Anolis sagrei: one gene and its partner. The protein of the gene in region 1 purifies or fractionates together with the protein of each later gene. This does not show direct contact. Links are inferred from orthologs where the notes say so. Each region holds a gene or a part of one and is shown in the gene's direction. Other genes may lie near its edges.

Region 1 (7,480 bases):
TCCAGCTGGAGCGGTCAAGGGCCAGGGCTTCCCAGTTCTCACAGTCTATGCCAGAGTTTTTAAGGTTGGCTTTGAGCCCATCTTTAAATCTTTTTTCCTGTCCTCCAACATTCCGTTTTCCGTTCTTAAGTTCGGAGTAGAGCAACTGCTTTGGGAGACGGTGGTCGGGCATCCGGACAACATGGCCGGTCCAGCGGAGTTGGTGGCGGAGGACCATCGCTTCAATGCTGGTGGTCTTTGCTTGTTCCAGCACGCTGACGTTTGTCCGCTTGTCTTCCCAAGAGATTTGCAGGATTTTCCGGAGGCAGCGCTGATGGAATCATTCCAGGAGTTGCATGTGACGTCTGTAGACAGCCCACGTCTCACAGGTATAGAGCAGGGTTGGGAGGACAATAGCTTTATAAACAAGCACCTTGGTATCCCTACAGATGTCCCAGTCCTCAAACACTCTCTGCTTCATTCGGAAAAATGCTGCGCTTGCAGAGCTCAGGCGGTGTTGTATTTCGGTGTCGATGTTGACTTTGGTGGAGAGGTGGCTGCCAAGGTAGTGGAAATGATCAACATTTTCTAATGTTACACCATTAAGCTGTATCACTGGCATTGGTGAGGGGTTGGCTGGTGCCTGCTGGAAAAGCACCTTGGTTTTTTCAATGTTCAATGACAAGCCTAGCTTCTCATATGCTTCTGCAAAGGTGTTTAGAGTGGCTTGTAGATCTTCTTCTGAATGCACACAGACGACGTTGTCATCAGCATACTGGAGTTCTATAACAGATGTTGTTGTAACCTTGGTTTTGGCTTTCAGTCTGCTGAGGTTGAATAGCTTGCCATCTGTCCGATAGATGATTTCCACTCCGGTGGGAAGTTTCTCATCAACAAGGTGAAGTATCATAGTGATGAAGATGGAGAATAGAGTTGGGGCAATAACACATCCCTGTTTGACACCCGATTCCACCTTAAATGGGTCACTTTGGGAGCCATTGCTGTTCAAAACTGTTGCCATCATGTCATCATGGAGGAGCCGCAGGATGTTCACAAATTTGTTTGGGCACCCGATTTTTTGGAGGATGGTCCAGAGAGCGCTGCGATTCACTGTGTCGAATGCCTTTGCAAGGTCGATGAATGCCATGTACAGAGGTTGATTTTGTTCTCTGCATTTTTCTTGGAGCTGTCGTGCAGTGAAGATCATGTCCACGGTTCCTCTGGAGGGGCGGAAGCCGTTCTGGGATTCTGGGAGGGTGTCTTCTGAGAGGGGCAGAAGGCAGTTTGCAAGGATTCTTGCAAGGATTTTCCCAGCGGAGGTTAGAAGGGAGATACCTCGATAGTTTCCGCAGTCTGTTCTTTCCCTTTTTTTGAAGAGGGTGATGATGGTGGCATCCTTGAAATCTGCTGGGATTTTCTCGGTCACCCACACTTTTTCTATGAGCTGGTGGAGTTGGTGTGTCAGCTCAGGTCCTCCCTCTTTAAAGATTTCAGCAGGGATCCCATCCAGTCCACTGGCTTTGTTATTCTTTTGTTGGCTGATGGCATTGCTGACTTCTTCCAGACTAGGCAGTGCTGCAAGCTCATCCCTAGTTTGTTGTTGCGGGATTTGTGAGAGGACCTCTTCGGCCACATCGGAGCCGCGGTTCAGGAGGCTTTGGTAGTGTACTTTCCAACATAGTGCAATTGAGTTTTGGTCTTTCAAGAGTTTGGTTCCATCTGATGAGCGTAGAGGCTGTATGCCATGGTTTCTTGGTCCATAGATGACCTTTGTGGCTTTGAAGAATCCCTGAGCATCATGGGTATCTGCCAGGTGTTGGATTTCTTCAGCCTTCTTTGTCCACCAGATGTTCTTGAGTTCTCTTGTCCTTCTTTGGACTTCAGCTTTTGCACTGGCGTAGATCTTTTTCTTAGCAGCACAGTCTCTCTGCCATGTTTGGAAGGCTTTCCTTTTCTTGTCAATTAGCTGTTGGATCTCGATGTCATTTTCGTCAAACCAATCTTGATGTTTCTTGGTTTGATATCCAATAGTTTCTTCGCAGGCTGTGATGATGGAGGTCTTCAGTTTGTTCCAGTGTTCCTCAACATTTTCGGGGTGTTCTGTGGGTAGATGGTTCTTGAGTGCTGTTTGGAGATGGGCTCGTCTGGAGGGCTCCTGAAGGGCTTGGGTGTTCATTTTGCGCCTTGTCTTTCTTCCTTGGAGCCTGCGCTTGGGGGCAATCTTGAGAGCCATCGTTGATCGGATTAGCCTGTGGTCAGTCCAGCAGTCGTCAGCACCTGTCATGGCTCTTGTGAGGAGCACCTCACGGCGGTCTCTGGCACGTGTGATTACATAGTCTAAGAGGTGCCAATGCTTTGACCGGGGGTGCTTCCATGATGTCTTGAACTTGTTTTTCTGGCGGAAGAGCGTGTTGGTGATGACAAGGTTGTGTTCCGCACATTTGGTGAGAAGCAGGATGCCGTTTGAGTTGCTGTTTTGTATATAGCCATTATGACATCCTATGGCAGGGATGATCAATAACCAAATCAAATCTAAAGTTGACCAAAATCCAATTTGTAACCCTTTTGGTGCTAATGTTGGAGAGTTGCCTCTGGTCCTAGTGGTCCCTGATCAAAAAAAGGTTGGGAACCACTGTTATATAGCCACCTGCTGATAGGTCATCAGCAAGGGACACTGGCTGATGCAATCCCTTTGCAGAAACCCTCACATAGTTATGACTCGGCCATTACCACACCCCTTAGGTATTGCATCATAACACTCACAGTCATTAGCCAGGTGCTATCAATATACTACATGTTCATAAAACAGTATTTTTCTCTATTATTAGAAATGCTTTGACGTTTCTATATAACACCATATATTGCAGAATAGTACTTTCCTTCATCTACAGGATGGAGCCACGCCAGCTAAATTGGGATTTTATTTATCGTATCAGGAGCAAACCAAACAGTTGTATTGTATTTAAAAACAAAAACAAAAAACCCACAAAGTTTGCAAACTTGGCATTCTATTAAATGTCCTTTGACCAGTAGCTGGCCACTTGGAGTGCCTCTGGTTTGTTATAAGAAGGTCCTCCATTGTGCATGTGGCAGGGCTCAGGCTGCATTGTAATAGGTTGTTTGTGGTTTGCTCTTCTCCACACTACAAAGTCCTGGACTCCACTTTGTAGCCCCATTTCTTAAGGTTGGCTCTGCATCTTATGGTGTCAAGAGTGCAGTCTGTTCAGCACTTCCAAGTTGCCCAGTTTTCTGTGTGCCCAGAAGGAAATCTCTCATTTGGTATCACCCATTGATTGAGGTTCTGGGTTTGAGCCTGCCACTTTTGGACTCTCGCTTGCTGAGGTGTTCCAGCGAGTGTCTCTGTAGATCTTAGAAAACTATTTCTTGATTTAAGTCGCTACCGTGCTGGCTGATACCCAAACAGGGGATGAGCCAGAGATGTCACTGCCTTGGTCCTTTCACTATTGGCTGCTACTCCCCGGTGGATGTCAGGTGGTGCAATACTGGCTAGACAGTGTAATTTCTCCAGTGCTGTAGGGCGCAGACACCCTGTGATAATGGGGCATGTCTCATTAAGAGCCACATCACTGTTTTAGTGTGGTGAGATAGATGTGTTCCACACTGGGCATGCATACTCAGCAGCAGAGTAGCATAGCGCAAGAGCAGATGTCTTCACTGTATCTGGTTGTGATCCCCAGGTTGTACCAGTCAGCTTTTGTATGATATTGTTTCTAGCGCCCACTTTTTGCTTGATGTTCAGGCAGTGCTTCTTGTAGGTCACAGCACGGTCCAGGGTAACTCCCAGGTATTTGGGTGTCCTGCAATGCTCCAGTGGGATTCTTTCCCAGGTAATCCTCGGAGCTTGAGATGCTTGTCTGTTCTTAAGATGAAATTGGGATCAAAATGTTATAATTGTGCAGTGTAGGTACACCCTTGTTCTCTAGCTTGCAGGGCTTATAAATGCCAGCCATGGACTCATGGTGTCCGAATCTCTAGCCAGCTGTTACAGGGTTTTTAATTTTCCCCCAGTTTAGATTGGATAGTAGAAGCTGCCAGAGGGAGCTCACCCGCGTTCTCCCCGGATTTGAACCTCCGACCTGTCGGTCTTCAGTCCTGCCGGCACAAGGGTTTAGCCCACTATCTGGGGCTCCCAGCCACCGGAGGCTCCTTCCCTCCCCTTGATGAGTAAACCCTATTGATCCAAGGGGTCTGCTCTATCTGGGGCTCCCAGCAAAAGCCAGGCCGGGCGCTGTGCCGCCTCCAAAGCGCCTCCCGGCGGCTCCACGCGTGGCTCCCCTTCCCTGTCGCCCGAGGGTTGGAGGGAGCGGCAGGTGCAGCCGAGGCGGCGAGAGGAGGAGCGATTGGCCCAAAGGCAGGCTCTCCAAGACCCGGCGTGGACGTCTGCGCGGAGGAGGCGGGGATTAAGAGAGAGAGGGGGGGATTGCCGCGCGTGACGTCTCCCGGGTCGTGGGCCGCTCCGCGTGATTCATCAACGCCGCCGATGCCGCGCGCTTGAAGCGGGGCTCCACGAAGGAGGAGGAGGAGGAGGAGGAGGAGGGATAGGGCAAGGCAGGTAGGCAAGATGGAAGGCACCCTGAAGAAGCTGCAGAAGGAAGCCTCGGGGAACAAGCACAAGGCCATCAAGGAGAGCTGCGCCTGGGCCACCGGTGAGGATGGCGGGGGGGGGGGCTTTGGGGGAGGGCAATAAGGGGCGGGCGGGCATGCTCCCCCCGTGGAGAAAGGCTAGACCTCCGAGAGAGGTGCCCCGGGGCCGTGGGGGGCTTTGCGGGGTCCTTTTCCCGCGGTGTCGCCTTCCTTTTCCCCCGTGGAAAGGCGCATCCTTGGAGGGACGCGCGCCCTGTTGTCTCGCTGTGTTGATGTTTGGTCTGGTTTGCCTTCCGCGGATGAGGGAGCTGTCAGGCGTCCTCCTTGCCTGGCCCTCTGCCTCTTGGCCTTCCGCCCGGACTGCCCACAAACCAACGGAGCAGCAAGCCCGCTTTTTGTTTTTCTCGCCTGGCTGCTGCTTCCAGGGTGGCTGGTTCCTGGAAAGCTCCTTCTTCTTCTTCCCCACGCAGGAGACCGGAGCCCAGATCCAACACCAGTTCTTCCCTTTCCTTCTGAGGCTGGATCTACACTTCATTGACATGATCTGCATTATGTGGATCTACATAGACTAGGCATGGGCAAACTTGGGCCCTCCAAGTGTTTTGGACTTCAACTCCCACCATTCCTAACAGCCTCAGGACCCTTTCTTTTCCCCCTCAGCCGCTTAAGCGAAAAGGGAAAAGGAAAGGGCCTGAGGCTGTTAGGAATGGTGGGAGTTGAAGTCCAAAACACTTGGAGGGCCCAAGTTTGCCCACAGCTGGACTAGACTGCTCCAAATTGCATTATACTCCCTGTAGACCCAGCTTTACTGTACTTTGCACTTCTCCCACTACACCATTATATTGATACCTATATAAATAATAATAATAATAAACTTTATTCATACCCCGCCACCATCTCCCCGAGGGGGACTTGGGGCGGCTAACATGAGGCCGAGCCCAAAGATACAATACAGCAAAATAAAATACAAAATGCAAACAACAAAAAGCAACAAATATTACATCACAATACAGTAGCAGAATAGAGTAAACAAAGCAAAATAAGATAATATAAAATTGAACACAATGGACAAGGTAAAATGATAAAACCCTGGATGAGGTAGTAGTAGGAAAAGTGCATTTGAGAGAAGCCCAAAGGGATGAACAGTGGAGTTAGGCTTTCAGTTTAGGACAGGGGAAAGTGCATCTTAGGGGAAACACTGTAGGTGGAACAAACAGAAATGGGGTGAATGGTCACTCTCCAAAGGCACATCAGAAGAGGTTGGTGGGGGGAGATGCGGTCACAAAGGTAGGCAGGTCCCAAACCGTTTAGGGCTTTATAGATGATAACCTGCACCTTGAATTGGGACCAGAAGATGAACGGCAGCCAATGGAGCTCCTTAAACAGGGGGATTGACTGCTCCCTGTAATTCGCCCCAGTTATTAATCTGGCTGCCGAATGTTGGACCAATTGGAGTTTCCGGGCCATCTTCAAGGGAAGCCCCACGTAGAGTGCATTGCAGTAGTCCAAACTAGACGCAACTAGTCTAAACTAGAGGCAACTATATCCCACTTTAACTACCATGGCAACATCCCGTGGTATTCCAGGGCTTGTCATTCTGTGACATCCAAGAATGCCTTAGCTAATAATTTGAAATGTCTTCCCTAAACTGAAAATGACAATATTCCTCAGCATTGCAGTTAGGGTGGAATATAGTTCTTCCATTGTTTGAGGACAGGGACATGCGTAGGGAGACCAAGGTGCTTGTTTATAAAGCCATTGTCCTCCCAACCCTGCTATACGCATGCGAAATGTGGACTGTCTACAGACGTCCTGGAATGATTCCAGCAACGTTGCCTTTGTAAAATCCTGCAAATCTCTTGGGAAGACAGGCGGACAAATATCAGCATGCTGGAAGAAGCAAAGACCACCAGCATTGAAGCAATGCTCCTACCTCATCAATTCCGCTGGACCAGCCACATTGTCCGAATGCTCGATCCCTGTCTCCCAAAGCAGTTCCTATACTCCCAACTCAAGAATAGAAAACTCACATTTGCAAAAGAGATTTAAAGATGGGCTTAAAAACTGTGGCATAAATGCCGAGAATTGAGAAGCCTTGCCCCTTGAGTGCTCTAACTGGAGGTCAGCTGTGACCAGCAGTGCTGCAAAATTTGAAGAGGCACTAATGGAGGGCAAAAGGGAGAAACATGCTATGAGGAAGGCACATCAAGCCAACCCTGACCGGGACCACCTTCCACCTGGAAACCGATGTCCTCACTGTGGGAGAACTTGCAGATCAAGAATAGGGTTCCACAGTCATCTACGGACCCACTACTAGGACCCTACACTTGGAGGACCATCATCCTTTGGCAATGAGGAATCACCTAAGTAAGTAAGTAAGGAATATGGTTCTATAAAGGGAGCCCACGGTGGTGCAGTTGGTTAAACTGCTGAGCTGCTGAACTTGCTGACCAAAAGGTCGGTGGTTAGAATCCAGGGAGTGGGCTGAGCTCTTGCTTGTAGGCCCAGCTTCTGCCAGCCTAGCAGTTCGAAAACATGCAAATTTGAATAGATCAATAGGTACTACTCTGGCAGGAAAGTAACGGCGTTCCATGCAGTCAAGGCAGCCACAGGACCTTGGAGGTGTCTGTGAACAATACCGCCTCTTTGGCTTAGAAATGGAGATGAGCACCACCACAACTAAACTTAATGTCAAGGAGAAACCTTTATTTTTACTACTTATAGTTCTATAAATATGCAGAGTGATCAGGATTGTGCATCCACACAGCATTTTCCAGCCGTTCAGATTTTCTCTCCCCCCAGTTGTATGAGATGTACCTTCTTTTCCTAACCAAAAGGAAGGGGCCTGAGGCTGTTAGGAATGGTGGGAGTTGAAGTCCAAAACACCTGGAAGGCC
Region 2 (6,980 bases), on another chromosome or scaffold:
TCCTACTACAGAGTTTCTAATTCTGTTGCTTTGTGTAATTTCTTCCCATTAATCTTATCTTAGTTTCTAGTCTTAGGAGCTGCATAATCCTTTCTAACCAAATTGAGTTTATTTCTCATTGAAGGTGATCCTTTTGTCAAGTGTACTGCAAGAAATAACTTTTCTCTCCAGAATGAACCTTCACTGTGACATTATCATAATGTACAGGGTGAGGCAGCATAACTTCTTTTTTTAAAATGCGCGCTATTCAGTCGGTTGAAGACATAGCGCAGCGCTAGTGGTCTCATTCAAGAGGCGGGAATATAAAGTTTTGTCCTGACACAGTTCAGTCGCCATCATGCGTTGGAACAGTGAGGAGCGTGCTTTTGCCATTGAGGCCTACTTTTCCATCGGATTTGGAGTGGCCGGCCCACTCTCCAGATTTGACCCCTTGTGATTTTTTTCTATGGGTTTTTTGAAATCCCGTGTTTATGTGAACCGTCCAAGGACCCTACAATCCAGGAAGAAATTGCCAACATAATGCCTGCTATGCTGGCAAGCCATGACAAACGCCAGAAATCAGTTTACTCGGTGTATGGAGAATGGAGGACGTCACCTACCTAATTTAATCTTCAAAACTTTAGGTATGCGCTTACATTATAAAAAAAACCTAAAAATTTCTGATTCATACAATGGGTTTTATTAAGTTTTTAAAAAAGGAAGCTATGCTGCTTCACCCTGTATGAAGTACAGGATGATTCAAAAAGATGGACCTGAACTGAAATGGCTATATCTCTGCAATCACAAACTGCTCATGAATAAAAAAAACAAACTCTTACTCTTTGAAAGGGTGAGGCAGAGTTTCCAATTATTATTGCTAGATGCCGCCTCTCCTAATACACCAAGAGCCTTAAGTCATTTGCAAGAAGGCAACCCCTACAACATAAGGCTTAATGAGATATTCTTCATTTGCGGAGTTATCTTTTAAATTTGATTCTGGCTCAAAATGCTTAGTAAAACTTGATAACGCACTAAACTGTTTGTAAATTTTTGCGTAATTGTAATATGTTGCTATCATGAATTACACGGCTTTGAAACTGGATCCATCAATTTGAAACACTCTGTACTTTCCAGTGCCCTCTCAAGAAATTCAACTACCACTTCGAGGTTACTACAGATCCAGTAGCAGTGAAAAGTGATATGCAGCTACAAGAAAAAAAGGCCCGCAAACCTGGAATATTTAAACCTGAGGCCCTTCTCATTCAGAGCATTTGATTAGAGGAGAAATTATAGATTGCATTCTCTTACCCATCAGGCCACAGAAGCGATCAAACGTGCGAGGGATTCTTGTCTGTGGGTTAACTTCAATCAGAACATTCTTTTCTGTGTGGATATAAACCTGGAGAAGACCAGCTCGGTTCAAAGGACTATCCATGAGCATCAGGAGGCTCTGAGGGGAAGTGGGAAAGGCAAAGGATGTCATAAGAAGAATCAGGCTTGTTTTCTGCTGCCTTGAAAACTAGGATTCAGAGCAATGGGTTCAAATTACAGAAAAGGAGATCCCACTTGAACATTAGAAAGAACTTCCCGACTGTAAAAGCTGTTTATCAGCAGAACTCTTTGCCTCGGAGTACAGTGGAGGGTCCTTCCATGGAGGCTTTTAAACAGAGTCTGGATGGCTATCTGTTGGGGGTACTTTGTGCTTTTCCTGCATGGCAGAATGGGGTTGGACTAGAAACTTCCCACTGGGCACACAGAAGACTTGGAAGGCACAGAAGAGACTGTGCTCTGGGACCATCAGATGCAGGGCCAATCTTAAGAAATGGGGCCTCAAAGTGGAGTCCACAACATGTGAGTGTGAAAAAGAGCAAACCACAAACCACTTACAACATTGCAGTCTAAACCCTGCCACATGCACAATGGAGTGTCTTCTCCCAGGGACACCAGAGGCACTCCAAGTGGCCAGCTATTGGTCAAAGAACGTTTAATATACAAGGGTTGAAGGAAAAGTAATGCCTCCAGCTTTGTTTCTTGGGCTTGGATGGAAATGTTTTAATAAATCAAACGCAGAAATAATCCTTAGAATGTGCTCTTTAACTACCACTATTCACTTTCTGAAGACGTCACGGAAGAAGTTGACACTCTGTTTCTGCAACCAGCATCTCACAGTTCTCTCAATGTTTCCATCAGAAGCATAATGATGTCCCCACAGATCTTCTTTTATTATCGGAAACAGATGGAAGTCAGACGGTGCTAAATCTGGACTGTATGGAGGATGTCGTATGATGGTGAGATCCAGTCTCTGAAGTTTCAAGTCTGTGCACTTTCATTTCAGGCATCAGCATCCTGGTTACCCATTGTGCACAGAACTTCCGATAGCCAAGCAAAGAAATAATGTGACCCACATGTTCTTGTGAAATGCCAATTGTGCTTGAAATTTATCTCTGAGTGATATGAGGATTGTCCTGAATCAATCTGTCAACCTTTTGCTTATGAAACTTGGTGATTGCTGTAACAAGACGTCCAACTCTTTGTTTGTCACGCAAGTCAGATTTCCCACCTCAACATCTTTAAACTTACTTGGCCAATGACACACAGTACTAACATCAACACAATCACCATAAACAGCTTGCATTCTCAGATTAATCTCGTTTGGGGTGACCCCTTCTGCTGTCAAGAACTCAATGACTGCACGTTGCTTAAGTAACATTGATCGACAGTGTGCGCAGAGTTCCATACTTTGCACTTTCACAACTGTTCATTGCTAAGGCTTCCCGCCAAAATGGAACTGCAGAGGAGTCTACTGAACAAGCCAGTACCTGCTGCATACCAGTACTGTTGAGGAGTTACGAAGGTGGAGACATTTTTCATTCAACCCTCGTGATGCCAAGTTTTTAACGTCATGTTTTCTAAAATACATTATAACGGTAACAATAATACTAAAACTTTATTTATATTCTGCTCTATCTCCCCGAAGGGACTCAGAGTGTCCCTCAATTTGCTTCTGACACAATAAATACATAACAAAAAAATAAAATGTTGATGACAATTTGTTTGAAACAGAACTGACAACACCATTTGAATGGCATTTTCACAAAAGGACAACCAATATTCCAAATAAGAGCGAACAGCATATAGCAAACTATGCTTTACAAGGAATTACCTGGTGTGTGATGTCCGGTCGAACCACTCCAGGGTCCCGGCCGCTTCGCAGGAGCAATGATTTATGCTTGTCGCAGTTCAACAGCTCATACGTTTTCCCAACCTGGAAGTGTATTTTCAAATTATTTGAAAATTCTACTTTTTCTTCACAGAGATTACAATAAATGCAGCGTAGATCAGGCGTGGGCTAGCTTGGGCCCTGCAGGTGTTTTGGACTTCAACTCCCACCATTCCTAACAGCCTCAGGCCCCTTCCTTTTCCCCCTCAGCCGCGGCTGAGGGGGAAAAGGAAGGGGCCTGAGGCTGTTAGGAATGGTGGGAGTTGAAGTCCAAAACACCTGCAGGACCCAGGCTAGCCCAAAACAGGGCCTAAGTTTCCCCTTGCCTGGAGGGCCTAAGTTTCCCCTTGCCTGTAGGCGCACTTCCCCAAAGACTGAGCCCAAACCACAGTCCCTGAAATGTTGATCCCTTCTGCTGCCTTCCAGACCTTCACTGTCTCCAGGGAGGCCCCTTCCAGGATGACCAGGAGCCGCCTCCTCCCCGCGCGCTGCGGATCCGGCCCCGCATTCCTGTCTCCACTCAGGCGCTTCCTCGATGAGTCCTCCGCCATCTTCGGCACGCTCGCTGGTTGCCCGGCTGCCTCAACTTCCGGTCTTTGACCTCCCACTTCCGCTCAACATCCTTCCCGTGCTCAGCTGACTCCTTTCACTCGTTTATTCTGAAGGAATTTAATCAGGAACCGGAAGTACAGGGCAGAGGCGAGAACTTCCGAGGCGCGTGCTACCCGAAGGGGGTTTCGTCACATCCGGTGTCCTTCTCCCTTCAGAGCGACGGCGTGGTGAGCAGCGCGAGCCAAAGGGCGCAAGCAAGCAAGCAAAAGGTGGTGAGTGGAGCTCAGTCTCTCTGCAAAGTTTAGCTCAGTCGGGGTTTGGAATGTATTTTGGTAAAAAGGTAAAGGTGTTCCCCTGATATTAAGTCTTGTCGCGTCCAACTCTGGGGGGTTGGTGCTCATCTCCATTTCTAAGCCGAAGAGCCGGCGTTGCCCGTAGACACCTCCAAGGTCATGTGGCCGGCATGACTGCATATCGCGCCGTTACCTTCCCGGAGCGGTACCTATTGATCTCACATTTGCATGTGTTAGAACTGCTAGGTTGGCAGGAATTGCGGCTGACAGCGGGAGGTCACGCCACTTCCCAGATTCATAAAATTATAGAGTTGGAAGAGACCTCATGGGCCACCCAGTCCAGCCCCCTGCAAAGAAGCAGGAATATTGCATTCAAAGCACCCCCAACAGATGGCCGTCCAGCCTCTGTTTAAAAGCTTCCAAAAAAAGGAGCCTCTAGCACACTCCGGGGCAGAGAGTTCCACTGCTGAACAGCTCTCGCAGTCAGGAAGTTCTTCCCAATGTTCAGATGGAATCTCCTTTCTTGTAGTTTGAAGCCATTTGTCCACATCCTAGTCTCTAGGGCAGCAGAAAACAAGCTTGCTCCCTCCTCCCTGTGACTTCCCCTCACATATTTATACATGGCTATCATGTCTCCTCTCAGCCTTCCCTTCTGCAGGCTAAACATGCCCAGCTCTCTAAGCCGCTCCTCATGGGGCTTGTTCTCCAGACCCTTCATCATTTAGGTTGCCCTATTGAACTAGAGTGGAAAAATATCCAAATTTCCCTTTGATTGTGAAGCTCGGACTAGTTTATAAAAAACTGCATTGCTGTAGTGTGCCTCCAAATCATTTGCATTCAAAGCACCTCCAACAGATGGCCATCCAGCGTCTGTTTAAAAGCCTCCAAAGAAGAAGCCTCTACCACACTCCAGGACAGAGAGTTCCACTGCTGAACAGCTCTCACACTCAGGAAGTTTTTCCTAATGTTCAAATGGAACCTCCTTTCTTGTAGTTTGAAGCCATTTGTCCACATCCTAGTCTCCAGGGCAGCAGAAAACAAGCTTGCTCCCTCCTCCCTATCACTTTCTCTCACATACTTATACATGGCCCTCATCATGTCTTCTCTCAGCCTTCTCTTCTTCAGGCTAAACATGCCCAGCTCTTTAAGCCACTCCTCATAGGGCTTGTTCTCCAGACCCTTGATCATTTTAGTCAGCCTCCTCAGGACACATTCCAACCTGTCAATATATCTCTTCAGTTGTGGTGCCCAGAATTGGACACAAAAATGTTGGTCAGCAAGTTCAGCAGCTCAGCGGTTTAACCCACTGCGCCAAAAAAAACCCCAAAACAACAGCGCTGTGCGTCTTTGGCCCCATTGTTCTTTAAAAGTTGCCAGATCGGTATTATTACAGTGTGTAACAAAATTAGAGGGGGGAAATCCTGTTCCTGATTTGAAACTTTTGTTTCATGTTGCAGTCCTTAATTTGAAAGTTGTTGTTGTATTCCAGACACTTCGTTTTGGTGGCTGCCATTTTGAACTTTTCCTATGCCGTTTTGAACCATGGCTGCAGGCCGTAAAAACAAAGTTTGTGCAGCTTAATAAATCTTTCCCCATATTTTTGTGAAAGTGAAGAGACATAGGTTGGAATAGTTAAAATCAGTGCTATTTGTTTTTGCTTGACAAATATTCAACACACTTGCTAATAACTACTTAATTACTTAACAAATGTATGTGTATTTAATTCAGCAATTGCATATGTATTAACCACTTCTTGATTTGCCAAACAACACTGTGTGTATTGCTAATTGCCTAACAATTTTTTTAAAAAGCATGACCTTTAAGGGATCATAACCTCTTAGAAAATAATATTTATAACATTTTATAGAAGAGTCAAAAACCTGTTTGAATAGAATCTTCTCAAGCGGTATACATCCAAATGTAATCATTCAAGGCAATTGACTTCAGTTGTTAGGCTGAAGCAACCTGTTATCTCTGATCTGTTAGGAAACAGAGAATAGGCCATTGCATAAATAGCAGTTCTTCAGAAGTGTTTTTCAGTGCCCAAAAATATATCTACTCTCCCATAAAACAGCATGTTTTATAATATGCATTCAAGAGTAGAATTTGGTAAAAAAATAACATATTTGGTTTACTCACAACCTTAATGTGTTCAAGGTCATAATAATAACAACAACAATATAAAACTTGCTGCCTTCCAGCAAGTTTTATATTCCAGTCTCTCCCCAAAGGGACTCAGGGCAGTTTGCACACAAAAGAGGAAAACATTCAATGCCCAAACATGTGCAAATACATCAAAGTAATATGACATAATACAAAATAATAACAACAGTGAACTAATCAATACAAAACTTATCTGTGCCATCCGATCAGAGTATCTCTCTTAGAATAAACAGCAAGGCAAGTGTTTGCAATTCTGCGATCTGAGCAGTCCCAAAGTCTAAAGAAGTCCGTGCTCTGCTCGTTCCAGAGCAGATCATGTGGTGTGCAGCCCCTCCCACAACTTCTCACAAAAACAGAACAAGGAAAGAAAGCTTCATACCAAAACATACATACAATAAGTAAGCAACAGGATTATAGATTTTAAAAAATACTAGAAGAGGCTTGAAGAAGGTTGTAATTTCTAACACAAATTGGTATTGATTGCTGCTGTGCCTCGCCCTGAAAGTTAGTTTTATCTGGCTCTAACAGCCTCCAAGTTTGACCCCGCAAAGAATTTAATGAGCTGTTTTTCTGGGCATGGGTGAGGTAATGAGAATGGAGGTCTGGTCAACACAGCAAGATCATAAATCCTCTCTTGGAAGGTAAGAAATGTAGGAGATGAATTAGTTTAGCACTGATTCAATGAGCCTGAAGTATGCATGTGCTCACAATATACATTGATGAGCTAATGTGCTTATATATATATATATATATATATATCACACACACACACA

The links. Proteins that work in one complex are often made in the same cells at the same time.
Region 2: the proteins of ARFGEF3 (region 1) and PHB2 purify together in Homo sapiens (affinity purification with western blotting; 4 studies listed by BioGRID). This does not show direct contact. The link is inferred for Anolis sagrei from reciprocal best matches to the Homo sapiens genes ARFGEF3 and PHB2.

The regions. Positions count from the first base shown.
Region 1 is NC_090021.1:79,095,955-79,103,434, reverse strand, and holds the start of ARFGEF3 (brefeldin A-inhibited guanine nucleotide-exchange protein 3), read left to right. Parts: upstream 1-4,423; 5' UTR 4,424-4,561; coding exon 4,562-4,646; intron 4,647-7,480. UniProt on the Homo sapiens protein: Participates in the regulation of systemic glucose homeostasis, where it negatively regulates insulin granule biogenesis in pancreatic islet beta cells. Also regulates glucagon granule production in pancreatic alpha cells.
Region 2 is NC_090022.1:198,282,415-198,289,394, reverse strand, and holds the start of PHB2 (prohibitin-2), read left to right. Parts: upstream 1-3,933; 5' UTR 3,934-4,023; intron 4,024-6,980. Other genes in the region: EMG1 (ribosomal RNA small subunit methyltransferase NEP1), read right to left, coding at 1,288-1,429, 3,143-3,244, 3,628-3,750.